4 linked regions of the Diceros bicornis minor genome follow. The protein of the gene in region 1 purifies or fractionates together with the protein of each later gene. This does not show direct contact. Links are inferred from orthologs where the notes say so. Each region holds a gene or a part of one and is shown in the gene's direction. Other genes may lie near its edges. The genes, in order: ERBB2, ACSL3, TFRC and ATP1A1.

The links.
Region 2: the proteins of ERBB2 (region 1) and ACSL3 purify together in Homo sapiens (affinity purification with mass spectrometry; 3 studies listed by BioGRID and IntAct, with this or other methods). This does not show direct contact. The link is inferred for Diceros bicornis minor from reciprocal best matches to the Homo sapiens genes ERBB2 and ACSL3.
Region 3: the proteins of ERBB2 (region 1) and TFRC purify together in Homo sapiens (affinity purification with mass spectrometry; 3 studies listed by BioGRID and IntAct, with this or other methods). This does not show direct contact. The link is inferred for Diceros bicornis minor from reciprocal best matches to the Homo sapiens genes ERBB2 and TFRC.
Region 4: the proteins of ERBB2 (region 1) and ATP1A1 purify together in Homo sapiens (affinity purification with mass spectrometry; 4 studies listed by BioGRID and IntAct, with this or other methods). This does not show direct contact. The link is inferred for Diceros bicornis minor from reciprocal best matches to the Homo sapiens genes ERBB2 and ATP1A1.

What each region holds. Positions count from the first base shown.
Region 1 is NC_080757.1:39,359,152-39,366,706, forward strand, and holds the start of ERBB2 (receptor tyrosine-protein kinase erbB-2), read left to right. Parts: upstream 1-4,484; 5' UTR 4,485-4,698; coding exon 4,699-4,771; intron 4,772-7,555. UniProt on the Homo sapiens protein: Protein tyrosine kinase that is part of several cell surface receptor complexes, but that apparently needs a coreceptor for ligand binding. Essential component of a neuregulin-receptor complex, although neuregulins do not interact with it alone.
Region 2 is NC_080776.1:12,674,480-12,682,102, forward strand, and holds the start of ACSL3 (fatty acid CoA ligase Acsl3), read left to right. Parts: upstream 1-4,601; 5' UTR 4,602-4,705; intron 4,706-7,623. UniProt on the Homo sapiens protein: Acyl-CoA synthetases (ACSL) activates long-chain fatty acids for both synthesis of cellular lipids, and degradation via beta-oxidation.
Region 3 is NC_080754.1:27,158,705-27,165,722, reverse strand, and holds the start of TFRC (transferrin receptor protein 1), read left to right. Parts: upstream 1-3,961; 5' UTR 3,962-4,017; intron 4,018-7,018. UniProt on the Homo sapiens protein: Cellular uptake of iron occurs via receptor-mediated endocytosis of ligand-occupied transferrin receptor into specialized endosomes. Endosomal acidification leads to iron release.
Region 4 is NC_080743.1:48,793,430-48,801,088, forward strand, and holds the start of ATP1A1 (sodium/potassium-transporting ATPase subunit alpha-1), read left to right. Parts: upstream 1-4,652; 5' UTR 4,653-4,903; coding exon 4,904-4,915; intron 4,916-7,659. UniProt on the Homo sapiens protein: This is the catalytic component of the active enzyme, which catalyzes the hydrolysis of ATP coupled with the exchange of sodium and potassium ions across the plasma membrane.

The sequences.
Region 1 (7,555 bases):
GAGAGGAGGAAAACTCCCCAGGCCTTGGGCCTGCGTTCCTTTTGTTTTTTTGTGAGGAAGATCAGCCCTGAGCTAACATCCAATGCCCATCCTCCTCTTTTTGCTGAGGAAGATTGGCCCTGGGCTAACATCCGTGCCCATTTTCCTCTGCTTTATGTGGGATGCCACCACAGCATGGCTTGACAAGCAGTGCGTCAGTGCACGCCAGGGATCCGAATCTGCGAACCCTGGGCCACCGAAGCGGAGCGCACACTCTTAACTGCTACGTCACCGGGCCAACCCGGGCCTGCAGTCCTGAGATGGGGTGAGAGGGGCTGAGGGAGGTGATTGGCATGCCCAGTTTGTCAGTTTGGGCTCTGCTCCTTTGCTGACCCTAGGCCCTGGGAGTTGGCCTCCCAGTGGTTAAGTTGCAAGTGTTCTTAAAACGCCACCTTTATGAAGGACAGATTTTCTTTTTTTTTTTAAATTTTTATTTATTTTCCCCCAAAGCACCAGTAGATAGTTGTATGTCGTAGTTGCACAGCCTTCTAGTTGCTGTATGTGGGACGCGGCCTCAGCATGGCCGGAGAAGCGGTGCGTCAGTGCGTGCCCGGGATCCGAACCTGGGCCGCCAGCAGCGGAGCGCGTGCACTTAACCGCTAAGCCATGGGGCTGGCCCAAGGACAGATTTTCTTATCAGAAGCTTCCAAATTACTCTCTTGTGGCCCCAGGGAGGCCTTGTGCCTACTCTTGGGGGGACTCTTTCTAAGTAACTAATTCATATAGACACTTCCCCAGCAACCCATGCCCTAGACTCGAGGCCTGTGGGGAAGGCTCCAGTTTGCGGCTTAGACCTCGGACTGTGAACCGTCTCCTCCCTTTTTCTGTTTGTTTTCAGTCCTCTGACCCCAGGCTGGCTGGTGAGGTAGGCAGAGGGGAGGAGACTCTGGTGCCAACACACACAGACACACACACACAGACACACAGACAGACACACACACACACACACACACACACACACACACACAGAGTCTTCTGTGCCCCCCAGTCTTAGTGGCTGGTCAATGATTGACTGGCATTTCACAGGCCGCTGGTTCCAGACCTCAGCCTGTTGACCATTAGAGGTCACCTCCCTAAGCCAGAGCCCCTTCCTGACTCTTGAGTGCCGGTGGTCACCTCCACTGCCCTCAGGCCCAGTACCTGTTGCACAAGGACCTCCTCCGGCAGGTCTCATGCCTCTGCCCTCAGCCCCTCGGTTCACTCTCCTCTGTCCTGCAGTCAGCCCTCTCCTGTGTAGCTGTCTCCCTCTCCCCAGGCCCCTCACTGGACCCTTCTGGCAAACTCTCAGGCTCTTCCAGCCACCCGGCCATCCCCCCCCACCCCAAGGTCCCCCCCCCTCAGCTTTTGTCCCTCAGACATCCTCTTTCCTTGGCTCTCCTGCCAGGCCCTGCTGGAGGGGCAGTTGAGGGGAGAAGCAAATCAGCAGCGCCCACCCCTGCCCCCCTTCCTCTCCTCTTGTCAAACACCAGACAAGGTTTTTTCCCCTTCCTTCCTGGCTCTGAATGGGCTCATTCTCTTTGGGAGACTTGGCCCCTCTCAAGCCTCCTCCTGGGGCGTGAGTTCTGACCCCCGCTCCCCCCTCATCCCCACTCCCGCTGGCTCCACCCTCTCTCTGCAGCCCACTAGGACTGAGCATTGTCTCCAGTCTGGGTTTCCTCCTGTGATCCGGGATGTGGAGAGGGTGGGCTTGTCTTGGCGGGGGCGGGGGTTGGAGGGGGAGGAGGGATTTTTGTGGAGCTAGGAACCAGCAGTTACCTTGATTTCTTGGAGGACCCCCCTCTGGTTCCCCTACAGGGGCCCAGGGAGAGGGTGGGTTCATGATACCCTTGATTTGGGACTCTGGAGCATAATGGATGAAGCCAAAGCTTCATGGCTCAGTTCCCGTTACCTCGGAATCTCGGGGTTCCTCTTCTGCAAAATGGGGAAGATAACACCCCTCTTCTCTGACACCCTGAGGCCTCAGTAAGATGAAGAGTGTCTCTCCAGGACGGAGAGAGTGGTGCAGAGTGAGAGTCCCGTAAAGGATGGCACCACTTCCCTGGCTGGATGAACTCTTCTAACACAAGAGCAGGGGAAGGTGGGGCCTAGGGGAGAAGTGACATCTCTAACACCCTGACGGTCTCTTGAAGACTGCATGTGCACGTGCCTGGGTGCAAGCACTCTACTATGTGACTGCAAATGACTCTTGGAGCCAGGTCAGCAGTCTTCTTTCCCCGCAGGGCTGAGAGGCACCTTGACTGGGTTCTGGCCTGTGTGATGGGTGAGGGTGAGGGGCTGGTTCTGCTGGCTGTTCAACTTTTCCCTCATTAGCCCTGAGATGGAAGGTCCTGGGAAAATTGGTTAACTCTCTTGAGCCTCCATTCCCTTGACCCTCACTCTAACTCTAACTTGAGTCTTAGAGAAAACAGGGGTATTGATGTCCATCCTGAAGGGCTGCTGTGTCCCCAGACACAGCAGTATTTCTTTAACGTTCATGACCATGATCCAAGGAATAAATCCATTGTACCTCATCACACCGGACACACATGCCCTTACCCACACTCACCCTTACTACACGTGAGGATGTGATGCGGATCTTTTCTATTCCATTCTATATCTTGAAAAAAAAAAGACCTGGGCCAGCCCCGTGGCTTAGCGGTTAAGTGCGCGCGCTCCGCTACTGGCGGCCCGGGTTCAGATCCTGGGCGCGCACCGAAGCACCGCTTGTCTGGCCATGCTGAGGCTGTGTCCCACATACAGCAACTACAACGATGTGCAACTATGACATACAACTATCTACTGGGGCTTTGGGGAAAAAAAAGGAGGAGGATTGGCAATAGATGTTAGCTCAGAGCCGGTCTTCCTCAGCAAAAAGAGGAGGATTAGCATGGATGTTAGCTCAGGGCTGATCTTCCTCACACACACACAAAAAAAGACTTGACTTGATCACCTAAATTGGTTTCATGACTGACCTTCTAATAGAACCTGACCTGCAGTTTGAACATCACTGGTTAGAGCTGGAGGAGGACTTACCAGGGTGTTAAGAAAGGGTAAGCTTCAGGCCCCTCATTTGCATGCATGTGTCTGCTTTTGTATTCATAACTTTGTATTCCTCTTGTTAAAGAGAGTCCCCCAAATTTCATAAGCTTCAGGCCCCACAAAACCTGGATCTGTCCAAGTATAAGAAAATCTGAGACCATGTATTAAGCAATCACTATGTGCCAAGTACTGTGCTGAATGCTTCAGGAGCATTATTTCCTATAATCCCTAGCACAGTATGCCAGATGGCTATTTTACAGGTGAGCAGACTGAGACCCAGAGAGGCTCAGTCACTTGCCCAAGGTCACACAGCCAATAAGGGGTGGAGTTGAGATTTGAACTCAGGTCATTCTGATCCCAGAGTGCCCTGTTCTCACGTCCCTACTGTGAAAGTGCCCGCCTATAACCATGATAGGAATATGGAAGCAGCTTAAGCAACGCTAGCGTCCTTCACTCTCCAGTCCCCAGTAGGTGCCTCTGATCCCCTCTTGACCAACACAGGCGTGCCCTTGGCTGAGGCATTCCAACTAGAGTTGCCAGATTTAGCAAATAAAAATAAGGATGCCCAGTTAAATTTGAATTTCAGATAAACAGAGAATAATTTGTTAGTATAAGTATGTCCCATGCAATATTTTGTTGGAATTTCCAACAAAAACATGCCTTCCTTCCATCGCCCACCCCCAATCCCCCCCCCACCCACCACGGGGCCTTAAGAACATGGTCCGGGGCTCCCGGTGGAATGCAGGGCGGGGAGGTGGAATTGAGCAGGCTAATAAAAGGCAAGAGACACAGAAGAAACCCTGGATGTATGGGGTGCTGAGTGCCCCGGTAAAGAAACACAAGGGATATTCTTGGAAGGATTGAGATGGAAGTCTCTCCAATTTGACTCTCTCTCCCCCAAACTTGTAGACCCCCTTAAAACCACGCGTTTCAGACTGAAAAAGATACCTAAGAAATTCGAAAAGCTACGCCAGGGAGTCCCGGAAGCCACCAATGAAATACACCACTATTGACTAGCAATTTTACTTAAGGATGCGGTGGGAAAACCATTATTTGATATGAAAACAAGGCACGCGATGGAGTAGGATGCAAACTCGCCAGGAATGTTTACGATAAAACCTGCGACTTAAAAGAGAGTTAAGGATGTCAGCCTAAAGCATTTGCTCCAGACTCCTGAGGGAGGGGTCACGAGCACCCTCCTCTCCTTTTGGGGGTTCTCCTTGGGAACGGGTGAGAACTGCTGCAGGCAGCCCGAGCGTCCGGGCGCTGGGAGGGACGCACCCCGGCCTGCGCCGAGAGAGGGAGAAAGTGAAGCTGGGAGTTGCCACTCCCAGGGACTTGCTGGAATGTGGTTGGAGGGGGTGGGGGGGGCGAGTTGTGAGCGCGCTTGCTCCCAATCACAGGAGGAGGAGGAGGTGGAGGAGGAGGGCTGCCTTGAGGAAGTACAGGCATGAAGTTGTGGAGCTGAGATTCCCCTCCATCGTGCCCAGAGAGCCGACAAGAGCCCCCCGAGGCAGCCGTCCGCCCCTTCGCAGGGTGCCCTTTCCGGCGCCGAGCGCCCAGCCCCCTCCCCTCGACGCGCCCGGCGCCCTCCCAGCCTGGTCCAGCCGGAGCCATGGGGCCGGAGCCGCAGTGAGCACCATGGAGCTGGCGGCCTGGTGCCGCTGGGGGCTCCTCCTCGCCCTCCTGCCCCCTGGAGCCGCGGGCACCCAAGGTGGGTCTGGTGTGGGGTGGGCATTGAGCAGTGACGGGACCCTGCAGCCTGGGACCCCCGTGGAAATCCTCGGGCCGGCGGGGGCTCCCCGACCCGAAGTTTCGGGCAGTCCAGGCGCTCAGAGCAGCCGGCCCCCGGCGGGGAGGGGGCAAAAGAAGGTGGGACGGGGGGTAATTACACCAGAGCGGCTCTAGATGTCCCATTCAAGGGACTGGCGCTTTCCAGACTCCGCGACGGCTCCGGGAACTTGTCAAAAAAGTTCTCTGAAATTGTTCAGAAAGTTTTCCCTCAAAGGGTGTATTGCATGGTGTGTGTGCGCGTTCGTGTTCCCCCTTCTGAGCCCCCTCAGGCTTTCTCAAAGCCTTTCCAGTTGGCAGCCTCCGCCTCCAGACTGGACTGAGCTGGATTTCTCGGGGGTCTCTTCTGCCTGCCCCTCCCCCTGCCCCCCCCTTCGGCAGATAGGGTTTAGTTACTCCAGCTTCGGACAGGATCGGGGTGTGGAGGGGGGAGGTGGGGAAAGCAACCTGTCCAGCCGGAGCCGGGGAGGAGAGAGGCCAGTCGGACTGCAGAGTTGCCTCATGCTGGAGTCGGGGATGGGGGGAGGGGGAGGCGTTTGTTTTGAACAAGTTTTCTTTAGGGCCAGTTTGGAGACTGTGTGCTTTATGACTTTTGGAGAGCATGGGCCCCGGAGGGGTGGTGGTGGGTTTCCTGGTCTGGGGCTCAGAATGGGAGAGTTCTAAGGGAGGGATTTCTGGGCAGTTGGAGGCGGGAGGGAGGCTAAGAAATAGGACGGGACAGGGGTATGCGGACGGCTGGGTTGTCCTGCCTTTTTCTTCACGCTGTGTGTGGGGAAGAGTTATGGGGGGGCAGGGTGGGGGCAGTGTGTGTCCTGCCCATCTGTCCATCTGTATGCAATAATGATTAGAGGTAACGTGTGCTGGGAATATACTCTGTGCCAGGCTCTGTGCAGGTGTTCTGCATGTGTTCCCTCCTTGAATAGAACAACCCTGTAAGAGAAGTCCTACTAGTATTCCCATTTTCCAGGTGAAAACCTGGACTCAAAGAGGTTAATAAGTAGCAGAGAGTAAGTGGTGGGTCCCAGATTGGACCCCAGGCAGTGGGACCTCCAACCACACATTCGAAATCACTGTATTAATCTACCTTGAACAATGGGGGACGCTGCTCCCTGCATCATGGGGTTCTGGGGAAGACAAAATGAGAGTGTTCTGGAAGTAGTGGGTGGTCTCCATAGGTCGAGGAGTCTGGAGAAGGGGTGGGTGTCATCCTGTCTGTGTGTTGCCCGAGGGTCCTTCTGTCAGAGCGTTGCTGTGTTATCTGAGGGGCTTCTATGCTAGGGTGTTCTTGAGTTGTGTGGTCTGTGTGTTTGTGTGTTTGGGCTTTGTGTTGCCAAACAGCAGTCTCCATGCTGACTTGGGGACTCGGCTGAACTCTGCCCTCTCAAGGAACTCCCTCAAGGTGCCGGGCCAGAGCTGCTGTAAACAGCAGGAGGTGGCCCCACACCTTCTTTCCAAGGAAGGAGGCTCCTCTTTCTCGGGAGCCCATCCTTCCCCTCCCTGTTTTCCAGGCGGGTATCTTCACCCCTGACCTTCTGCGGAGAAGGGTGAGGCCAGGCTGGGCTTTCAGGCTGAGCTGCTGCCCTCCTCACCTGGGCCTTCGAATTGAGCAGGTGGAGAGTAGCCGAGTTGCTGGGACCTGAGGGGTCGGTTCTGCCACCGATGACCCGGGCCTCCTCAGGTCTTCCTCACCCCTCAGCCTGCACTGCTAGGTTGTGTGTTGTGCAGGGAATGGTTAAAATGGCAGCGCACCACCCAGCTGCCTCTAGCACCCCCATTATATCCCAGGGCTAATGGCTGCGGCAGGAATGTGGGGGAAGGGGAGACAGAAAGGCCCAGAGGGTCAGCATTTCCCTGGGATCCTTTTTTAGAGGTCAAGGTTTTGTAAAGTGCAACAAACACATCTTCTTTATCTTGCAAAGCTCATAGTTTAATTCCCATATGATTCTCCCAACAGCCTCCTTCCTTCTTTTTACTATACTCAAGGAAAGTAACCTCATTTTAATATTCAGGGAAAAAATGATTGAAAAGATAGGATGAAATGCAAAAAGAGAATTACTCATACTCCTGCTGTATGAACTTCCCAAGCCTTAACTTTTAAAATATATACAGCGTGCTTCCTGTGTGCAGGTGCTTCTCCATTACGGTTTCATTTTCTGTCTGCAACAATCCTGTGAAGGAGGTACACAGGTGAGAAAACTGAAGTTCAAAGAAATGAGGTGACTCACCCAGGGCTTCCCAGCGACCCAATAATGTCCAGGGCATTTTTGTACTCTAATGAGGAGGTGTTAAGGGTTGGTCAAAGTCTCGTTCCATGTCCATCCATACAGGAATGGGTTGAGCGAAGCCTCAGGGGCAGCCAGGTGGCTGGACTGGGGGACAGGTGCCACTCTTACTCAGGTGAATGAGCTCCCTTATCTGGGCCATAGAAAGTGGGGTGAGTGGGGCCCCCCTGAGGTCCCCTCTAGGCTTCAGAGTCCTCCCCCTCCCTGTTCAGCCCATGTCTGCCTTCCTCTTGGACCCTCCTGGCATTGCAGGGGGCTGAGGGCAGGAGCGGGGCAGAGGCCAGTGGGACCTGCAAGGCGGTGGGTGAGGGAGACAGCTGGAGTAGAAGCATGAAGGACCAGTGTGGGGCAGGGGTTGGGGGCTGGTGTTGGGCCCAGGTAGTTGTGCCTGCCCCTGGGTGCTGGAATGATCTGGAAAGAGATCC
Region 2 (7,623 bases), on another chromosome or scaffold:
TAATTAATTTTAGGCTATTTTAATGGCATTCTGGGGGGTGAGGGCTGGGAATAGATTCTTTCAATATATTTTACAATTATCAGACTCTCATTAAAGCTTAGGTATTCTGTTTTATACTGCAAGTGATGAACAAGGGAGAACAATAAAAATGATCAAAGGGAGGGCCAACCGTGTGGCATAGTGGTTAAGAGCGTGTGCTCTGCTTTGGCGGCCTGGGGTTTGCAGGTTCGGATCCCAGGCGCGGACATACGCCCTGCTCATCAAGCCATGCTGTGGCGGCGTCCCCTATAAAGTAGAGGAAGATGGGTACAGATGTTAGCCCAGGGCCAATCTTCCTCCGCAAAAAAGAGGAGGATTGGCAACAGATGTTAGCTCAGGGCCAATCTTCCTCAAGAAAAAAAAAATGATCAAAGGGATAGAAAATAGGTCATTTGGAAAAGAGTTTTTTTAAAAAAAGATTGTCTAGCCTGGAAAAGAAAAAGTAAGAGAGGACTTTCATCAAGTATTTTATGAAGGTGAAGTGCTATTAAAGGGAGGCTGGTAGGTTCTTAATCACTAAAGTGGAACAAAATTAAATCACCTTAAATTGTAGAAAGAACGTGTTGATAGAGTGTTTATGCAATCCAGTCTCACTGAAGACACTGAGACTGAGAATCTCAGTCGGTGGAGATCTTTATAAAGTTGAGAGTGGATATGAGGTGTCCCATGTGATGACTCACCCCATGGTCAACCATGTACAACCCTCCTGAAGCTGATGCCTGTGTTGAGAAGAAGGATTTCCTAGAAAGACAGGACCACAGGATTTGGACACACAGTGGCTTTTAGAATTCTCCTGATTCTTTCTTTGCAATTCGGTAACTGGGAAATTCCTTGAAATACCTTCCGGTTTTGTTTAACAAAAGGACAAATGGCAGACACTGTTGACTGCCCCCTTGTAGCGGATGCTGTGGGCGCCCTGCACATAGACCCTTGGCATTCACGTGCCCAGCATAGGCTGATGGCACCTGTGAGTCTGCAGCTCAGGGCTTTCTCTCTACCACTGTGTAGGGCAGTGATTCATCCTCACTGGGGCCGATAAATAACCCGGGGAAGAGTTTGCCATCCCTGCCCATTGAGCCTGGCCAGCACCACAATCCGAGGGCTCACAGAGTGTCTGATTTGCCGTCATGGGATCTTGCATAATATTGGTCTGCCACCAAGGGCCTCATTTTACAGCAGAGGAGCAACAATGAACACGTGACTACAGGACCCATGGGTCCTGCCACGGACTTCATCACAGATAAATGCTGCCTGATAGAACTTTTAAAGACCCAGCTTGAGGATGATGCTGTTTTCTTGGTAAGACGTAGCTCCCCAGTAAACACATGCCAACATGTAGGAGAAGCTGCTCTTCTCTTCTGGCTTTGCGTGTATTGCGTAAAGATAATGCTTGGAGCAATTGCAGCCATCTTGTAACCATGAGGGGGGAGAACATGAACACTGAGAATGGCAGAGTGAAGAGACGGAAGGAGCCGGGTCCTTGATGACACCAGTGAGCCTTTGAAGCAACCCTGGAATTGCCTTCCTCTGGACATTTTAAGTGAGATAACAGATGGTTTTATTGTTTAAGCCCCTTTTAGTCAGAGATGGGTACTTTTAGGTGATATGCATGGCAGACACTGCTGATTGGGCCTTCCCACATTCGTTCCCTCCCACGGCCCCTCCTGTGTTGATGGCAGCTATCTTCCGTTAGAGAGGCCGAAAATGCTGACGCTTTCCCAGCCTCCCTTGCAGCTAGGATGTGAACATGTGACTCAATTCTGGCCAATGGGGCTTAAGGAGCAATCTGTGGTGAGCTCTCTGAGAAAGAGTTTCCTCCTTAATCAGAAACGGTGTTTAGGGTGGCTGGCCCACGGGCATAGCGCTTACGTGCGTGTGTTCCGTTTCAGTGGCCTGGGGTTCGCAGGTTCGGATCCCAGGTGTGCGCCAACGCACCGCTTGCCAAGCCATGCTGTGGCGGCGTCCCATATAAAGCAGAGGCAAATGGGCACAGATGTGAGCCCCAGGGCCAGTCTTCCTCGGCAAAAAAAAAGAGGAAGACTGGCAGCAGATGTTAGCTCAGGGCTGGTCTTCCTCACACACACACACACGAGACATGGCGTTTAGGAAGCATGCCCCGATTCCTTGGCCAGAGGCTGTTGTGCCTTCACGTGACACTTGGAAACTGCGGCTGCCATCTGTGACTATGATGGCTTAAGGATAAAACTAATGGGCTGAGACTAGCAGAGTGAAAGATGGTAAAAGCTTGGGTCTTCAACGACGTGGCAGAGTCCCTGGATCCACCTTGGACTTGCCCTGCCTCTTGAGCTATCTTTATGTGAGGAAAATAAATATCATAATTTAAGCTGTTTTTTTTGAACGTTCTGTGCCTTGAAGCCAGAGCCATCGTAACTCAAACATATAACATTAATGTGCCACCTCAGCTCTCCCCGCTGCTCAATCCACCAGAAATGAAAGAACAAAACAGGTTCTGTTAAACTTTTAAACATCAGCTGGTCCTGGTTTTACATTATAATGATGATGGAAAATGCTAGTAGTAGTTTGCTATACAGTCACAGACTGTTTCTGCGACCCTTCACATGAAACAGATCCTTAGGTATTCATGAGAATTACAAAGACATTTCCTCTCAATGCCCCTGTAATTTGGAGAAACAACAAAACTATAAAAGGAACGGCTGGATGTTTTTATTTAGTTGGCCATTATAGTTTCTGAATTGAATTTCTCTAAAAAGAAGGAAAATGCAGCCAAATTCCAAAACTCTCAAAAGCTCTAAACAAAAATAAAAATATACTGAAACCCTTTCTAAAAGAAAAGCAACTGTGGATGTATTATTTTATGTAAGAAAACATCTAGAGATTAGAAATATTACATTTCTGTTTAGCCTCAGCAAACAAGATGAGAATTTAGAATTTTAATTCCAAAGAATATTTTCTTTTGAAAATGTCGTATATACATGTATGTCTGTATACACCCATATATATTTTACAACATAGAAAGATATTAAGATGTTGCTGGAATTCTACTAGTCTGCTTTATGCTTATTGATGGGAAAAAAAGGTTCAACACCGGTTTTCCTCCCTTGGGAATTACTTATTTTTTCTGGAGGCTTTTCATGGTTCTGGAACTAACAGTTCTAAAATATACTTCCCTCTGCATGCAGAATGGTGGCGGGCTTTTCAGATAAGACATTCTGCATTCCTTTCATCTTCAAGGTGTATCCTCTGATAGCATTTCGGCAGATAAGCGAGCAACCAAACATATTTTCTAGTGGAAAGGTAGGTTCCCTGAGTCAGGTATCCATTCCTTTAGGTAGCTGAATTGGCCTGGGGCCCAAGGGGTGTGAGCTTTCTTTGCTCTGTGGATCATCACTCCACAAGTTCAGGCGGCTCCGCTGATTTCCAGATTCTCTTGGGAAGTGAGCCCCTGCTTAGCCTGAGGCTGGCTCATAAATGTCACCTTTCACCGAATTAAAAGTTTTGCATCGCATGGAGATTTTCATTTCAAGTAGCTATTCCTAGCTCCCTCACTACCGGAAAAAAAAAAAAAATCAAAACCCTCCAAATCAGTTTTATTTCTTGTGGTATCAAATCTGACTTAATGTTATAACTTCGTTCACAGACCGACTAAATAATATGTTGGCTTAAAAAAAAAAAATAGAGCCCAATCCTACTATTACTGCGGTAATGAAAGCCATCTTTCTTATAGTGCACTGTAGCTGCTGTTTTAGTCATTGTGTTTGTGTTTTTTTCGTTTGTTTCTTTTCTTGTAGAGGGGTAGTCTACCCGCACTGGATGACTTTTCTCCCTTCTGTAGTGTCTAAAATGGGGTATAATGGCCAACTCTTTAAAATATAAAAACACTTTAGATTCATAAGAAGAACGTCCAAAACCAATAACTTGGAGTAAACTTGATCCTTCGAAAACAAATACCAAACTGGTATAAATAGTGAGTGCATTTAGGCGAGATGGGTTATTTGCTGGGTTAGGTGAAGCTAAAACAAGAGAAATAATAAAGGACCATGCTTTGGATTTTTGAGCCCCCTCTCGCACCAGGCGTTTCCAAAAATCATCTCATTTTACCAAACGTGACAGAAACGTGTGCAAGAACAGGATACCGAATCCAGTGCAGAATGAAAATAATATGCATATTATCTCAGGATCTGTGTTGAGATTTATGCATGAGAGCAATGACTGCGTTTGCAGATTTTGGGGGGGGGCGGCCGTCCCGCAGACCCCGCTGGAGCCCCGTCGCGGCCGCAGAGCCGGCGCCCCGCCCCCCGGCCCCGCCCCGCCCCCGCCGGCTGCGGCTGGGCCCGACCGCGGCGGCTCCGGCGAATGACCCGTAGTAACCCCGCCCCGCCCCCGCCGCCTGCGCCGCGCTCCCGGCCGGAATTCGATAGGCCCGGCCCCGCACGCGCCACCGCCCGCGGGCCAATGGGCGGCGGCCTCTCTGCGTAGGCAACGAGCGCCGGCCGGGCTGCGCGTCCCGGGCGGCTCGGCTCAACAGACGCTGGCTGCGGCGCCGGGTGGTCGCCGTGGCCGGGTGGGCGAGGCGGCGGCGGCGGGGCAGCGGACGTCGCCCTCTGGCCGTGCGGCCGCGGCGGCGGCGCGGGGCGCTGCAGGCCCGCGTGGGCCCGAGGCGGGAGCGCGGGGGCCCGGCGTCGCGGTGAGTGCGGCGGGGGCGGCCTCCGCACGGGCCGGGGCCCCGGGGGTGTGCGCGCCGGGCGGGCCCGCAGCGTGGGCAGCGGCGCCCGGGCCCGGTGACGCGGGGCCTCGGCCGCGGGGCCCACGTGGGCGGGGAGCCGCAGCCCGAGCGGCCGCGCCGTCCGCGCGAGGAGGGATGCGCGGGGTCCCTCCCGGCGCTTTGGGGGCGCGCGGCCGGGGGGGCGGCCGCCTCGGCAGATCGGCCCTGACGCGGTCCCTGGGGGGGAGCTGAGCCCTGCGATTTCGGAAAACCGTGCAGCAGGGGCGGGCGGGGGTGTTTGTGGCCGCGGGGTGTGAGCAGCAGTCGGGTGTGTGCGACGGGGCGACCTTGGTGTGTGTCGTGGCCTCACGAGCTGTGGGGGCAGGGCTGGGATTAAGACTGTTGCGGGGGCGAGAGTTGAAGACTGACTTTCCCCTCAGTGCGTGTTAATTACACACCAGTGATGGAATGGGTGACACCGCGGGAGGGCTTACTACCAGCCATCCTGTGGGGTCCTTATCAGACCCATTTCACAGCTGAGAAACCGAGGCACGGAGCCGTTGACTGGTTTGCCCAGTCCGGTTGTAGCATTGGTATACAGATACTCTAAGCTATTGTATATATCGCCCCTCAAAAATAGAAAGGATGGAACAGTCTTTAAAATTATATGGAAGCTAGAGAGGGGATAGGCCTTGTGCAAGTGATTAAAGCTGAATAAAATGACAAATAGCTGACATTTATTGAGTCTTGATTACATGCCGTGCACTGTACTAAGAGCTTTATGCGTGGTTTCTTTATACTGTTAACAGCCGTCCAGGGTGGTGATTATTCCCGTTTGACCGCTAGAGGAATGTGGACACGTTCATTTTCCCCAGATCACAGCAACTCAGGAGAAGCTGGGATTCAGACGCCGGCCTGTGTGAAAATCCAGAGCTCGTCTTTCTAACCACTTATGATGCTGCCTCGCCTCTCCTTGCTGGCTGGCTGGAGAGTTGCCACGGTGGATTCTTGTTTGGGTGGCCAGGAGCACTGTGGTTTGATGGTCATGATCCTCACCACCTTTGTTGTTTCTCCAGATTAGTTCCCCGAGTTGAAGGGGCTGCTGAGTTGCTCCTGAAAGTGTATTAGAAGGTTATTACAGGGAGGCGGTGTTGTGACGTGGGAGTCTGTTGCACAGACTTTATTCTTCTGTTTTCTGGCATCTTCCCAAGCAGTTCTTACCCTTAGGGATGAGTAAGGCCTTTCTAGTCACTCTGGCATTGTCTCTTTAGACTTTTCCTGGTTTCTCTCTTATGCTGTAAAAAGGTTTGGTTCTGTTGGATGGTCTTGTGGTTGGGTGTAGGGCAGAGAGGGCCATTGGATGTAAGGGTCAAGGTTACAAGTGATCTAGTGTCTTTGTTACTGGATTTGTAAGACATTTGGACTGGGTGGTTTAAAGTTGAAATATTCCGTGAGTCTAAAATGTCCTGGAAGGAGAGAAGTGTGGAAGAAACGAAGGATGGAGAAATTATGAGAGGAAGATCATGCTCTGTCTGGTTTAGGGGGGTCAGATCTTAAAGCCTCGAGATCTTTCTCAGGGCTTCCCTGCTGTCTGGTACTGCTGAAATGACTAGTTCATTGCTCGTTCAGTTAATTGCTCAACTAGAGCCCTTTAATTCCTGTTATATGTCAGGTACCACGTCAGGAGCTGGGAATAGAGCAGTAAACAGAATTGACGTGATCCTTGCCCTCACGGAGGAAACAGACACGAAGCAAATCGTCATCCAAATACATATGTGATTACAAGTTATGATATGTGCAGTGAAGGGAAAGTAGCGTGTAAGTGAAGATTATAATGAGGACTGTGATTTAGATGGAAATCTAGTCTAGGGAGTGTTTTGAATTGATAGGGTGAGCTTCTGCTAGATGACAATCTTGCGTTCTGAGTTGTGATTAAATGTGCATAACGCAAGAGTGTGAAAACTTTTGAGCAACAATGTTGTTTTCATTTCACAATGTCTGTTCCTACCTTGAATGTCACACCCGGGCACATTACAAGATACGACAACAAGATAGGGATCATTTTCAAGCAGTCGTTCTGCCTGCCTTCAGGGTACTTAATTATTCCTGTAATACTTAAATTTTCCTCTCTCAAAATGAACATTTGAGAAGCAAGAATCTGTATATGGGATCTGGACTTGGGAATGGGATTAGAATGTATTCAGGAAAGCGAGGCCAAAAGAGGGGACAGGTTTTTCGAATTTTCGAGAAGCAGCATCGTAATTATCAAAAGTATCGAGTGTAGTTTACATTTAACAGAGTGATTTTATTTAAAATTCTCACCCCTTAGGAGACAAAAGTGATGAGCTGGTTTGGGAAATATAAGCTGTTAAATATGTGAATATTTCAGTTGAACGTGTACTAAGCCAATACGAATAATTCATTGTATTATATTTACTGTGTGCCATCTGCATGCGAAACACTGCACTAGGTGTGCCATGTGGAATAAATAAAAAGAACTTGGTAAAGTCTCTGCTTTCAAGGAGATTTCAATTTAATGAGTACTAGTACTCCGATGGAACTCCTCCCTCCCCGCCCCTCCCTGCTTTTTCAAAGCACTGTTATCTGTTAGCCCATTTGATCCTCGTAAGAGCCTTATATCATGAGCAGAAATATTGAGAAAATGGAGATTTAGAGGTAAAATTGCCAGACATGGTGATTCATGGTATTTGGGGCAGGAGGAGGAGATGTCGAGTGATTACACTTGAGCATTTTGGGGTCATCAGTGTCGAGGTGACGGCTGAAACCGTGGACGTGGGTGAGATTGCCTGTGGAGAGACTAGAATAAGAACCGAGGAGACCTGGGATGGCGCTGGGGAGAGGAACCTGAGCAGCTTGCCGAGGAGAGCGGAGAAGGGGCC
Region 3 (7,018 bases), on another chromosome or scaffold:
GGGTGGTAACAAGTTGAAACAGTGGGCAAAGTAACAGGGAGAAACCTTGGTAGTTGATATTTAACTTTGATCAAGTCATTTGTCCTATTCACTAAGAAGACGTGTGCTCTGAGAAAGGAGATGGCCTAGGACTGCGGTTTTCAAACAGTCATAGCCCATTGAGAAATCAGTTTAATGGGTTGAAATCAGCATCTAAAAAAATAAATAGAAAATTCCAGACTGCTTTGCACACAGCAAGGGTATTATTTCATGAAACTTTTGATTCGGTTTTGTGTGAATACACATAAATATATATACACATATACACACACACATACACATGTGTATACTGAATTGTGAAGTAAAATGGACATTTTACCATGGAGCACAGTCAAAATGTTTGAGAGGGGCCGGCCCGGTGGCGCAAGCGGTTAAGTGCGTGCGCTCTGCTGCGGCGGCACGATGTTCTCCGGGTCGGATCCCGGGCGCGCACCGCGCACTGACGCACTGCTTGTCAGGCCATGCTGTGGTGGCGTCCCACATAAAGTGGAGGAAGATGGGCATAGATGTTAGCCCAGGGCCGGTCTTCCTCAGCAAAAAGAGGAGGGCTGGCAATGGATGTTAGCTCAGGGCTGATCTTCCTCACACAGACACACAAAAAAATGTTTGAGAAATGCTGGCCTAAGAAACCCCACTTAGCATTTGGGCCACAGATAGGACCCCAGAAAGAGCAAATGGTTCTGGATCCTCTATTACTGAGGTGACAGATTAATGTACTTTTTTAAAATTGTGATAAAATATACATAATATAAACAGAATAATGTTTTTAAATGTAAGGGACAAAGTACTAAATGCCTTTGTCTAAAAACTTCCCACCCCCAACTTGCATCATCTTGCAGGTGTGGGTTTACAACCCCATTTTTTTTCCTCCAAGATTCCTGTAACCAAGGTAAGAGGTGTATGTTTTGATTTTGATCTTAGGGGGCAAGCAGCAAAAGTTCTCTCTTGTACCTGTGACAGTCTGTGGAAGGCTGGAAATTGAATAACACTCATTTCAGTTATAGTTTAAATAAAGGTACCAAAAACTTATTTCATTGCAAGCATCCAAGTTACTGGGTCTCCAGAAGTGGGAGCTAATGGTGTCGACGAAAAATTACCAATAACCATTAAGAAATTTCAATGCAAAATAACCAATAACCATTCTATAGATAAGAGAGATAAGGTGAGTTCTACTTCAGCCAGGGTAAGGATTATAATCCAGGAAGGCCTTTTCCAGAAAGGAAGAAAACTTTCAGAAGCATGGTTTTCAGTACAGTCTTATACACTTTTAGAACAAAGAACATACATGAAACACACCCAGGATACATTTTCATCAAAGTTTCAAAGAGGTATTTAGTTGCAAATTAGCAGGTCAACATGAACCTGATGTCATAAAAGGGACTAATAAGGGAGTTACCAATAGGGCATTAACCAATAGGGCATAGGAGGGGAAGTATGCATTCTTATTTTAAGACAGTGAATTCTGTACTTTAACGGTTAAAGCAGATGTAAAATGTATGTTGGACAGGCCATAAACCAGGCTTATTTAGTTCTAGCTGAATCAGTTTTTTTTTTTTTGGTGAGGAAGATCAGCCCGGAGCTAACATCCACGCCAATCCTCCTCTTTTTTTTTGCTGAGGAAGAGTGGCCCTGGGCTAACATCCGCGCCCACCTTCCTCCACTTTCTATATGGGACCCCGCCACAGCATGGCCTGACAAGCGATCCATCGGTGGGCACCCGGGATCCGAACCCGGGCTGCCAGCAGCGGAACGTGAGAACTTAACCGCCACGCCACAGGGCAGCCCTAGCTGAATCAGTTTTGAACCCGAATAGTAACCCCATACACATCAATATGTGAAAATTTCTCATCAATTATATGTAAGAATGGCAACAACAACAATAAAGAAAATTAGAGGAGAAAAACAAAATCTTTGAACATTTGTATGGAATACCAGACAAAGCAAAATTGCTCAGTATGTATAGATTCTGCAACAAAGCAAGACAAATTTATTTTCGTCTACTTGAAACTGCAGAGGAGGGAGATCTTGCAAAGCTACTAGGAAGAAAGGGATAGACAAGGGAATTTAATTGCATAGTGTCCGTTATTACTAATAAAAGCATGAAAACAAAAATATAAAAATATAACTGACACACTCTTTAAAGTAGTGTCCTCTTTGTTGTTTCATTTGAGTGACAGTAAATTTTTTTATTTGGATTTCCATAGGTTCTGTCCTGACCTCCCTCTCCTAAGCCCATTTTCTCCACGTGGTTTTCAGTTTCACCTGGAAACTACCACTGATTTTTTTTTTTTTTTTTTTTTTAAGATCCCACCAGTCAAGGAAAGGGAGAGGGGACTCAGCCCGCCTATCGTCTGAATTTCAAGGTGGCCCCTCCATAGCTAATCCGTATCCATTCCATTCCTGGCTTTAGTTTTTTCCTGCGCCGATCCACTAACGTGCAGCAATGCTCCTGCTTTTAAGATTTTTAAATATATCTCCTTGGGGAGAGATTTTAGGGAACAGAGATAGAGAAAAGTGGTGGGCGGACCCCGTGTACTTCCCCTATTTTAGCACGGAATGGAGGAAGGAGCAGGAGCCCGAGACCTGAAAACTGATTTGCATTCTAAAGGACCGTTCCGCGTCCCTCGGGACTCTGACCCCGAAAGCGCTTTATCTGTAACCCTTTTAAGGCCCCGGTCGTTTGTAGCTGTGTGCAAATTTGTCTAATCTCCTTCTCAGGACTATAGGTTACCGACTGGAGGGAGGGAGAGGGTGCGAATGTTTGGAAAGCGTTTAAAAAGTGACAAGAATCCAATTTTATTTGTTATGCATTGCACAATCCTACAATAACACTAATGGCAAAGAACATGAAAGTTCAGCTACAATTCTATCACCCTAATAAATCACTTGTTTCTATTTTCCCTTCCATTCCCTCATGCATTAAACACTAGGCAAAGCACTGTGCCGATCTCGGTTCCTGTGCAGCTTTTACACATCCTACATACAAATCTGTATTTTGCTTTTCATTCTTTTAACTATTTGCTTATCCTAAGTATTTCTTTTTTTGTGTGAGGAAGATCAGCCCTGAGCTAACATCTGTTGCCAATCCTCCTCTTTTTTGCTGAGGAAGATTGGCCCTGCGCTAACATCCGTGCTGATCTTCCTCTACTTTATATATGGGACACCGCCACAGCATGGCTTGGCAAGCGGTGCGTGTGTCCACACCCAGGATCCGAACCTGCGAATCTCGGGCCACCTAAGCCAAGCGCGCGAACTTAGGCCACTCCCCTATCCTAAATACTTCTTTTTTTTAATTTTTTTTTAAAGTTTATTTATTTATTTTTCCCCCAAAGCCCCAGTAGATAGTTGTATGTCATAGCTGCACATCCTTCTAGTTGCTGTATGTGGGATGCGGCCCCAGCATGGCCGGAGAAGCGGTGCGTCCGTGGGCGCCCGGGATCGGAACCGAGCCGCCAGCGCCAGCAGCGGAGCGCGCGCACTTAACCGCTAAGCCACAGGGCGGGCCCCTATCCTAAATACTTCTGAGGCTGCAAAACATATATCCACAACATGGCTTTAGCGGCTACCTAATATTCCATCAAGGACATACACTTTAAGGAATTACTTCAGTGTAAGTGTTCACCATCTAGGAGTAAACGCTAACACCTTTGACCTTGCACTGCAGAGTCTGGAGATCAGTCAAGGTTAGACAGGAGGCTCCAGGTCGCACAGCAGCAGCCCAGCCCTTTACAGCCTTTGGCGCCTTTTCCCTCCCTCGCCCCATCCTGCCCCGCGCTCTAGGGGGCGGTCTCCTTTTGAGTGCATGCGCAACCCTCCCCCAGGCCTCTTCATTGGTGCACGTAGCGGAAGTGACGCAAGTGGGAGGGGTCGGGAGAGGCTCCACCTGGCAACGAGCTCGGCCGGTCGAGGTAGTGTGCTTGCGAAGGCGTCTGCGTCGGTTGGTGGCGGCTTGGGTACGGGTGGACGGGAGAGTCGCCTGTGAGTGACGCGCCGCTGTTAGAACCCCGCCGACCCTCCTGTCCTCCGTTCCGCCTGCAGGGCTGGTCCGAGCGGTCTCCACTGCGGCCCCCTTGGGAGCTGTCCAGCAGCCCACGGGGCGCCTCCGGGTGGGGTGGCCGGGATGGAGCGGGGCCCGCCTGCCGGCGGGGAAGGGGCCGCGGCGGCGCGAGGAGCGGGCTGTAGGTGCAGGGGGTGGAGCCGCGGCGCGGACAGCGGCTGCCCTTCCTTCTCTGCCTGTCTGCGCCCTCCTGGGCTCGGTGGCGGGCGGCGAATGGTTTCTCTCGTAGGATTCTGAGGGCGAGATGAGGGCCACGCGGCTGTCGCTCTGTGCCCCGCCATTCTGCTTCCGGCTCCTCAGGCCACCCTCCATCCCTTGTTCTTGCCAGCTGGCCCTTATTAAAAATGCAGGTCCTGCTGGGACAGCCTTAGGCCGCGGGCTCGGGAGCGAGGCGTCCGCGCCGGGCGAGCCGCGCTGCCGCCGCATTGGCGGGCCCGCGAGAGCACGTGGCTGCTGCGGGGAGCGTCCCTACAGCTCTCAGGTGCATGGGTCACCTTGAGCTCCTAGCCCTTCGCTTCCTCGAGTCCTGCTCGCGCCCAGGTCTCTTCACTGCTGACAGGGACCAGCTGTCCTCGATTCGGTTACGAGTGTGTCCTGGCATTTAGATGGGGATTCTGTAAGCTGTACATTTGAACGCGGGTACGACCTGATCTTTCATGCCGCCCGTTGGCCTTGTGTGTGGGTTCTCAGTTTTCCCAAGTCAGAAGCGGACTGAACGCTGCCGGTGTTCACATTAAGAATATTCGGACTGCTAGGCTCTCCTCACTGTAAAATGGGAGACCATATGAATAAGACTGATGCTTTGTGAAAGCTGTGGTTTAGAGGCTAAAAGCTATTGAAAATTAGCGATATGGTCAAAGGGCTGTGCTCTCTTGCCAAACGCCTTAGAGGCCCATGGTGTCACTGTTTCTGGTGGTCAGCTCTCTTAAGGTGGTAGTGGGGAGAATGGGTAAGAAAATGTTTTTGTGACTTGACTCTTTTCGGTTAACATTTTCACTTTGTTCACTGCTTGTAGTAATCTTGGTTATACTAGGGAACTCGGTTGCTGCTGCTTTTCCTGTTTTTGTCTTTTTTTTTTTTTTTTTTTTTTTTTAATTTTTTTTTTTTTTTTTTTTTTTTGTGAGGAGATCAGCCCTGTGCTAACATCCGCCAATCCTCCTCTTTTTTTGCTGAGGAAGACGGCCGTGGGCTAACATCTGTGCCCATCTTCCTCCACTTTATATGGGACGCCGCCACAGCATGGCCTGCCAAGCAGTGCGTCGGTGCGCGCCCGGGATCCGAACCAGCGAACCCCGGGCCGCCGCAGCGGAGAGCGCGCACCCAACCGCTTGCGCCACCAGGCCAGCCCCTCTTTTTTTTTTTTTTTTAGGGGGAGTAGGAGCAGGATTGAAGTAGGAAATAGTTGTCCTGTTACAGAAGTATTCGGATATCTGATACCTTTATTCTAGGCTTAGATAGGAATTTGCAATACTAGATGCTGATTCTTTGTCTCTGAGCTGGGGAGTTTTGACTTTATTGACAAAGACGTGTAAGGTGATTTCCAGTTTTCTACTGTGAAAATTAAGTTTAGACTATCTAAAGTACTTGTTGGTCCTGCTGCTTTTCCCCTCAGTTTTGGATTATAATAAACTCAGTGTGCCTCACAAGAAAATCTAGAGTTAAAAAATTTTTGTTGTTGATATGAAATATTTTCCAAAGTCTGTATATAGCGTAGCACCCTTTAACTTTTCTTTGCTTGAGTGTTCTTGTCAAGTAATGGTGGGCTTCTAGCCTGTGCTGAAGACTGTTGAATAAGGATGAACAACTTGGGTAACTGTCCTAAGGCGAGGCAGTTATTTGCCTCTGATAATGTACTTACCTATAATGGTTCTCAGCTAGATTTGAATCAGACAACAAGGAAAGCTAGTTAAAAATGATCCTCTGAGGCCTTTTGGAACTCTTCTGTGGGGGTGCCTTCTGTCTGCTCCCCCAGATGAGCACTACATGAATAGGCATGAATAAGGCTGCCGTGACTTCAAGGGCTCCTGACCTTCAAGTTGGGCAGTCTTCTTTCAGAAAGCTGAATGGAAATGAAGATTCCGCTTGTTTTCCTTGATTTCCTCCACTACCTTTTCATTTTAGGCCCATAAAGTTAGACTCTTAAAGCTAGGGAAGACATTGATTGTCTCTTTAGAAGTCATTCTGTGTATACACAAGTATGAGTTCTGAGGGCCCTGCAGAAGTTTTGTAAGTTTACGTAATCTTTTCATTTTCACCTGCAAATCCATAGTTGCCTGGGGAAATAGTTTGCAAAAGGGGTATCTGTAACCAGTTGTTTGAGAGAGTATTTCAGGATAAACCAGAACAGTGGCAGGGATGGGAAAAGATTCCAGGTCCAGGGTTTTCATTATATTCTCTTTTGTATCATTTCCAAATGATATGAAAAATGAACCTCATATACATTAAGCGTGCCCCAATACCGTTAAGAAATAAAATATCTTTACTCTTTGTTAATTACTACATAATTCCATGTCAAGTATTATAGGGAAATTAGTCAGAGAAGTTCTTGGAGGTGGCCCTTGAGCTGAACCTGGAAGAGATGAGTAGGACTTCAAGAAGAGAGGAAGAATGTTACTGGGTAAAGGCAGGGGTTATAGTCTGTCTTATTTTGAAGAAAATAGAGGGCAGTGAATTATTAGGTAGTGAAGGTCTCTAGAACCGAACCTCAGAAGCAGGTAGAGGAACTTCTTTTTATGTGAGCTCCAAGGACTTGAAACTGTGGCCTGTTTTCTAAATTGAAGTGGACTTGTCAATAGTAACAAACAAGTGGCTTATTCTTATTTTAGGTAATATGGAGCAGAAGCTTTGGGTATGGTATACATAGGTGAAAGTGTATTTTGGTACCTGATTCCCCTTGCTTAGCTGTATGTATTGTATACAGAC
Region 4 (7,659 bases), on another chromosome or scaffold:
GGTTCAGACCTTATCTTTGTTGCCATTTAATTTTGCTTGCAATGCCCCAGTGGTTGTTGATTTGTAGAAAACAAATGGTGAGTTTTTACCTGCCAGGATCTTGCAGCATTTAATAGCATTTGGAATTGGAGTGAGGGGAGTAGAAGAAGTGTATAAAGGGAGAGTGCTAGAAGAGAAGACCAAATCCTGGCTCTTAATTTCAGGATCCAGTGTAAAACACTTGGGGAACAACTAAAGAATCCTCTATAATTGTTTTATTTACAAAGACTGCTATTAATAAGAGCAAATTATTTAAGTGGCAGTTGTGTTAAAGGGATGCTGAGGAAAAGACTGAGGATTTGACCCTGTGTAGTTTATAATAGCCCCCAGGACAGGCATCAAGTAAATGTGACTTTTCTAAATTTCCGGAGGCAAGACCCAAGGTCTTCAAAAATCATTAACAGAAGAAAGTATGTTTAGAAGAGTACTAAAGAGTCTTAAAAGTAAATTAAGAAGTAGAAAATGGAATGTGGGAGGAAAAGTTACAAAGGGTTCAGAATTATTTAGCTGACAGATTTTTTTTGGGGGGGTGGGAGGGGTGAGGAAGATTGGCCCTGAACTAACATCTGTGCCCATCTTCCTCTATTTTGTATGTGGGACGCCGCCACAGCATGGCTTGATGAGCAGCGTGTAGGTCCGTGCCTGGGATCTGAACCTGCAAACCCTGGACCGCTGAAGTGGAGTGTGTGAACATAAACACTATGCCACCAGGCCAGGCCGGGTCCTAGCTGACAGATTTTGATGGTTAGTGGTGTGCCTAGAACTGTGCTTTTAAAGTGGGAGATAATATGTCTGTTGCTGGACAGGAAAAAATAGATTTGCAATGGTGGGATAGACATTGGGCTAGGAGGAACTTTGGGATGGTGAGACGAGTTGGCTTTAATGCAGTAAGAATGGGGCAGCTAAGTGACTTTCCGGGGTACCTAAGAAATAGTAAAGATAAAGATGCATGCTTAAGATTGTTTCCATAGTAGCTCTAGGGCAAGCTGGAGCAAAGACTTCTGTCCTTCTAGATCCTTAGCTCATTGATCTCCCAAATTTTTACTTCTTATGGAAAATGCTAACTTGGTGTAGGCTCCAATTCATATTCTAAAGCCCTTAATTGCAATGGCGTGTTTATTCAATTCAGCAAGTACTTACTCAAAGTGCTAGGATTCTTGGCTCAAAATACTGACTTGCATCATATTTTTCATACATCTGCTGACTCTATTCACAATGAATGGCCCAACCCTCCATGCTTGTGTCAAATCCTCCTCGAAGCCATCCACACTTGGCAGCCGTGGGGTCTGTAAATGCTGAGTCTCTGGGTCAATCAGTTTAATTGTGCCCCAAGCTAGGAGCTTAAAAAGAAAGCTGATGGGATAAGAGGCAGATAGATCGGAGAGGCAGAACTTGCCCCATCCTGTCTTCTGGAAGTTCTGTTTATCCCCTGCACTGTGCTGGATGTTCGAAAAGGTGCACAAAAGTTCTACCACTCTCCTAGAACTATCTGGTGCCAATCACTCTCTGGGCCTGTTTCTTCATTGTAAAATGAGCAGTGTTTGATCTCTCAAGTTCCATTCAGAAGCCTCTCCCAAGAGGAGGAAACAAGTCTTTCCCAAGAAAAGGGCTTTTCCCACTTTGGTCTCCTATGTTCCAAGGGAATGCTCTTGCATCTGAGATTTCTGCACCCCAGGCCTGGTGATGCCGTCCCTTTGTCTTAATTCCACAGGCCTGTCCAGGGCTCCATATTACAACCAGGCAGGGATTCTTTCCATCACTCTTTCCCACAAAAGTTTGCAACTCCTGCTTCTTTACCATATTTTTTCTCTTCACCTCTTACAATTAGCCTTCAAGTCATGGCAATAACCTTTACCCCTGAAAACACCCCTGAAGACTGCCCAGAAGTGCAGAGACCATAGCACTTGGGCGCAGTGCTAAGAGAAAGCATCAACTTTAGAGGATCAATACCAAGGCCCTTTCTGATATTCTGAAATGTTTTTGTTGAATTCTGTTTTTTTCAATAGGATTGAAACATAAAATGGCATTATCAAATACCTTAAAAATGGAATGGGATTTGCCTCTGGAGGTGGGATCAGGTGGGTCAGAATAGGGGTGGGGGAAGTGTTTGTAGATCCATATAGGGCATTTCTATAAAATAATGGTTCTCTGCCTGACGATGACACACACAATAGACTGATGAAGAGTGGAAATAGAAAGGCTCTAGCTGAGGTCTTCTTGGTTATAAAAGAGGAGAGCCATGTGGAAACCCTCTGTATTTGTGAGGACAGCAATGTTAATAGCAATTGCTATTCTCCCACCAAAACTTTCTTGGTGCCATGCTCAGAGACCAAACTTCAGAGCTAGGAAGATGGTTCCTGTTTTGTAATTTTGAGGCCAGACTCCCCCAGTCACTGGTTGAGTCCCTGAGTCTCCAGTTTCCCACTCGGTAAAATGCAGCTGAAGCCCTTTACCTTCCCGACTTGTGAGAATCCAAGAGGATTTTATATGTAAAAGTGCTAAGTGGAGGCAAAGGCAAATACAGATTTTAGTTAATATTTCTTATACTTCTGTGTCTCTTCCTTACTCTGGAACATAGCTAGAACTTTCAGGTCCTCCTGGAAGGACCTTCAGCAATCGTCAGCTGCCAGGTAAACAGCTCTAGAGACAAAGGGAAATGCCTTGATCTATCTGGTTATATTTTTGAATGAAAAAATGATAATTTTACTTATGAAGGGAAAAAAAGGGGATCACCTGGCAGGAGAAATCGACATTGTTCAGACTTTTGCTTTCTACATTTTGTTGCTGTTCTTGCTGCACTTTTCCTGTTCAGACCAGGGCCCAAGGGATGATTAATCTTAAACAAGCTAAGGGACCTTTGGCAAGCGAAAGCCTCCTACAGGTTAGCAGTAACAGGGGCTGTACCAGCATATAAAAAAAGCATTTTCTAGACCATTGGGGATAGAGCCCTGATAACACTCTACAAATGCCTTCTGTTGAATTAGCAGTGGTGGGCACTCTGCTCTGGAGTTGGGGGCTCTTTCTCCAGCAGTCACAAATTCGAATCCAGTTTCCAATTCCTCTGCTCTTCATGGCCTGGACTGATTTAATCAAGCCTGAAGATGGCTGGAGGAGGCACCAGCCTCTAACAATGGGTTCTTGGACAAGAGGAAGACACACATGTAAGAAACAGTTTCTTCTAAAAAGGAATAAAAATCACCCTAATGTTCTAACTGACAACACAGTTGCTAGTTTTCCCTCCTTCCTTTTCTTTCCTGCCTTCTTTCCTTCCTTTTTTCCTTCCTTCCCCATTTCTTTCAAGCTTCACATCTTTATTTGTTCATGTTAAATTAATAGAGTTGATAGGGCCAGCTTTAAGTTGCTTAGGAAGTTATTTTCCTTATTTCTTGTAGGAATTCCCAGAGACTTGGAGCGACTTTCTCAGAGACGTGGAGCGAATCTTATGTTTTCCCAAAGTATACTTGACTTCCTGAAAGCAAGCAATAATAGTAATACTTAGCTTTCTAAATGTTGGAGACCTTCAGCCACTTGCAGCCTCTGCTAAGAAACATAAACTACAATGGGAGGCAAGACCCACAGCGCAGCCGGGCCAGGGCTCTCTGGGGGATTCCTGGCCTTGTCATCACACTCCAGGCCCAGGTCCCTCAGAGCACCCAATTCTGCGCTGAAAGAGGCGCTGCTGTGCGAGTGGGAGGCATGGAGAAGCACCAGACAGGTCCTCAAACCTCTCTCCTTCGAGTCTGTCCCTTTTGTTCAAGATACGCATTCCTTTACATTTCAAGTGTTCCTCCCCTAAAAAGCGAATCCCCAAACTGGACAAGCAGGTTTCATTCTCACTGTAGCTTCAATGAATTCATTGGACACCCTTTGGATTGTCATTTGGGGTCTTGAAGGAAAGCAGGGGGGCGCTTGGGACCTCGGGCAAGGCTCAGACCCATTCCTCCTGGGGCCGAGCGGGAAGTGGGTAACGCGGATCCCAGACTGGAGGAGGCATTCGGGAGGGCACCAAGAGGCTGGGGAGGCCATCTGCAGGTGGGCACGGGGCCTGGACTCTGCAGGAAGGCGGAGTCCCTCAGGCGGGCGCCGGCTGCAGTCAAGCCCGAAGCCCCCCACCCCCAACCCCGGCGCGTCCTTTAGTCGCAGAGGAGCTCCCTGATGCACTAGAAAGGCCCCTCAGAGCGAGGTTTCTGTTCTGGGTCCGCGGAGATTCGGGGAGCCCCGTTCCGAAAACGTATCCGCACCCACTGCGGACCTTCCGTGCCCTACAAAGCAGGCCGGTCACGCCGAGCGGCGGGAGGAGGGGCGCGGCAGCTCCACGGCCGCCGAGGCCCCGCTGCCCAGCCAGTCGGTGCGCCCCGCAGTGGCGTGGCCGGGGCCTCCCGGGCCGTGGGCACTCGCGCCCCGGGCCCGGCGCCCTCCTGCCGGGAGCCCAGACCAGCGGCAGCCAGCCCGGGGATGGGGTTGGGGCGGGGGCGGAGCCAGGCCGGCGGCCGGTGTCAGGTTGCTCCGGCAACGGTGACGTGCCGCGGCGTGGGCGGGGCCAGCACGCAGGTTGCATATTTTAGGAAGCGAGGCGGAGGCGCGGGCTCGAGCTGCGGCGGGGTCTGGGGCGCAGAGCAGCGGCGGGAGGAGGCGGACACGTGGCAGTGGCAGTGGTAGCAACCCCGGCGGCGGCGGCGGCGGCAGTAGCAGCGGCGGCATCGGCCCGAGCCGCCGGCCGTCCTCCCTCCTTCCCGCCCCACAGCAGCCCTCGCTCCCTCCTCTCGGCTCCCCCGGCCGGGCTCGCTCGGCCGGGAGCTCTCTCCTCTTTTCTCTCTCATTCTCAAGCGACAGGACCCGGCGCCGGGCACAGACCACCGCCACCATGGGGAAGGGGGTGAGTGTCCGGCGAGCCGGGGAGGGGGCGCAGGGAGTCCTGGAGGGGAGGAGGAGAAAGAGGAGGAAGTCAGGAGGGCGACTGCAGCCAGCGGGAGGCGGGGAAGGAGGAAGCGGCGCGGCGCGGAATGGGTTGGCAGAGCGGCGAGGCTTAAAAGACGACGCACTTTGGAAATGGAGGGAGCGCAGTAATGGGGGACGGGCGGGCGGGGGCAGGGAGCGCCGAGGGGACGGAGGACGGCAGCGCGGGGCGGTGCGCAGCCCCGGGAGAGGGGCTGCGGGCCCCCGGGTCGCAGCGCGCCGCGGCCCGGGGCTCCTGGAGGCGGCGCTCGGGAGCCGCAGGGCCGGGAGGAGGGCGAACGGCCGCCGGCGGCCGCATCCCGAGCCCGGCTCCCCTCCCTCCGCCCGCTCTCACCTCCCATCTCTCGCCTTCCTTTTTCCCTCCGCCTTCCGTGCCCGGACGAAAGGCGTGCTCCTCCCCTTCCCCTGGGGCGCTCAGCCCGGCCCCCTCCCGGGCCGCCGTTCCCGCCGCGGCCCGGGCTTCCGACGCGGGGGCGGCCTTGGGGTCCGAGGCTCCTTCTCCTGCAGGCGCGGGGGCTTAGCCAGTTCCCCCGTAGAGGCGGCCGCCCTCCCTCCAAGGCAAAAATTAGTTTCCCCTTACTGCGGAGCCGGTTGGGCGGGCTGGTGCCAGAAAGGGTGTGTCTTCACTGCCCTAAGATGGCCTTTAAGGTATACTTTTGAGAGCTTTGATGGAACGCTGGCCATAAACACAGGATGCGCCCGGGCGACTGGAGCGGTCATTCTGGCGGTGGGGAGGGGTGTGTAAATTTTTTGGAAGGATGAGCCTGGAAGGAAGACAGGCTAGCCCCCCAGGGCCTCTGGGTACAATAAACCCGAAAAAGGACTGGAGGTGGCGGGCAGTACGCGGTGGTAAGAGTGCCAGCTCGCGGAAGACGGTTCCCGAAGGAACGAGGGGTCTCCGGGACAGGAGAGTGCAGGAGCGCTGTGGGAATACCAGAACAACATCTCGTTCCTACAGTTCTGTAACTCGGAGCTGTGATAACCCATAGCCAAGGCAGAAGACTGAGTCCCGGACCCCACCGGGGCCAACGTCTAGTTGAGAAAAGTTTATACAAAATAATCCCCAAAGTATCAATTCGTGGGGTAAAATGACGGGGCCATGAGAATACCGGTAAGAGAGAATCCACTCCATTATTATCACCAACTCTTGCACAGTGCCTGGTGCTTAGTAGGCCTTTGAAGGCTCTTAGGGCTCCTCAAGGTGGAGTGAGTGATGGGGAAGAGGGAGGGTTCATTCTTTGGGGACTCCAAATGGATTTTGAAGGAGGTACTTGAAAGGCTTGGACCTGGTGGGGAGAGAGGAAAAAGTGGGAATGTATGACTGGTATCTTTTAAAAGCACAAAATGTGGAGGGAGGGCTGGCCCAGGTCAAGTAGCTGAAGGCAAAGAGCTGAGTGCCAGCCTCTGTACTCCCCAGGATGGAAACTGGGTTAGTGGCCTGTGCTTGTACCACTGTGTCAAACACTAGATCATTCTCCTAAACTAGCTCTTTAAAGCTCATTCCTTTATTTCTCCCCCTTCAGAAAAAAAAAAGTTTGTTTCCAGAGCTGGACCTTACTGATTTGGGGGGATGTAGAGATCACAGGTATGTACCCAAGGCCTAGGAAGGTGAAGTGACTCGCTGAAGGTCAAATGGTTAGTTAATGACACACCAGACGTCCCTAACCAGCCTGTGATTTCCCCAGCCTGAGCACTCACGCACTCCTTGACGTTGCCTTATGTGGAGAACTCTCAAGTTATTCTTCAGATGAAACTGGGGTATTTGTGAGGTTGAATTAATGGACCAGAGAGATGTTTGAGTAAGTTATGTGTATGTGTCTGTTATGTCTCTTTCGTAACCACATACATGCATAGTAGTGGTAAAGATAGCAACACACCTGGGTTGTGGAGGTTCAACCAAGATGTCTAATGGATCCTAATAAAATGTTCAGTGGCTAGCAAACACAAAATTGAATGACAGCTGGGTAACACGGGATGCTATGCTGCTTATCTGCTGGGTTGTAGTCAGTATTTTGGGTACTATGATAAATTGAACGTTAAGGGGTATGTGTGTATAAGTGGTGGTGATTCTCCCAGGATAAAGTTACCCCTTTTGTCCCCAGTGACTTACTGTGATAGTCCAAATGTTCAGAAGGATATTTTATGCTGAGATGTTGGTATTTTTCCACATGGGGATTAAAATGTGGGTGGAGTGGTGACTAAGGCCCTGCTGATAATTGGTTAACGAGGAAGCCTGTGCTGGCAGCTCATTTTTAAGGTCATTGTTAATTTCTTCCCCTCCTCTTCCCACTATCATTGGGGGCCTAGGTTTTAATGATATTTCAGGTGATTTTATTTCTCCTTAAAAATCTAGTTTCTAAGCTTTGGGTAAGAAATTGAAAGAACAGCTCCTGCTGAATCATTCCTGGATGAAATAGGATTTTGTCCTTTTTTTCATAGTGGGTGTTTTTGCCAATGACTTGGCTTAAATCCACAGCCAGGCCTACCACCCACAACTATTTCCCTCACCAAAGGTACACACGAAAACTTTTCCTTTTCTTAAGTTTACAAAAGATGGGGGGCGGGGGGAGGACGGGGGCATGTCACCAGGTCCTTCCCTTTAGTTCTCCATTGTTTGAATATTAACTTAGTTACTTAGAAAATAAATCATAGTTTATGGGTAGT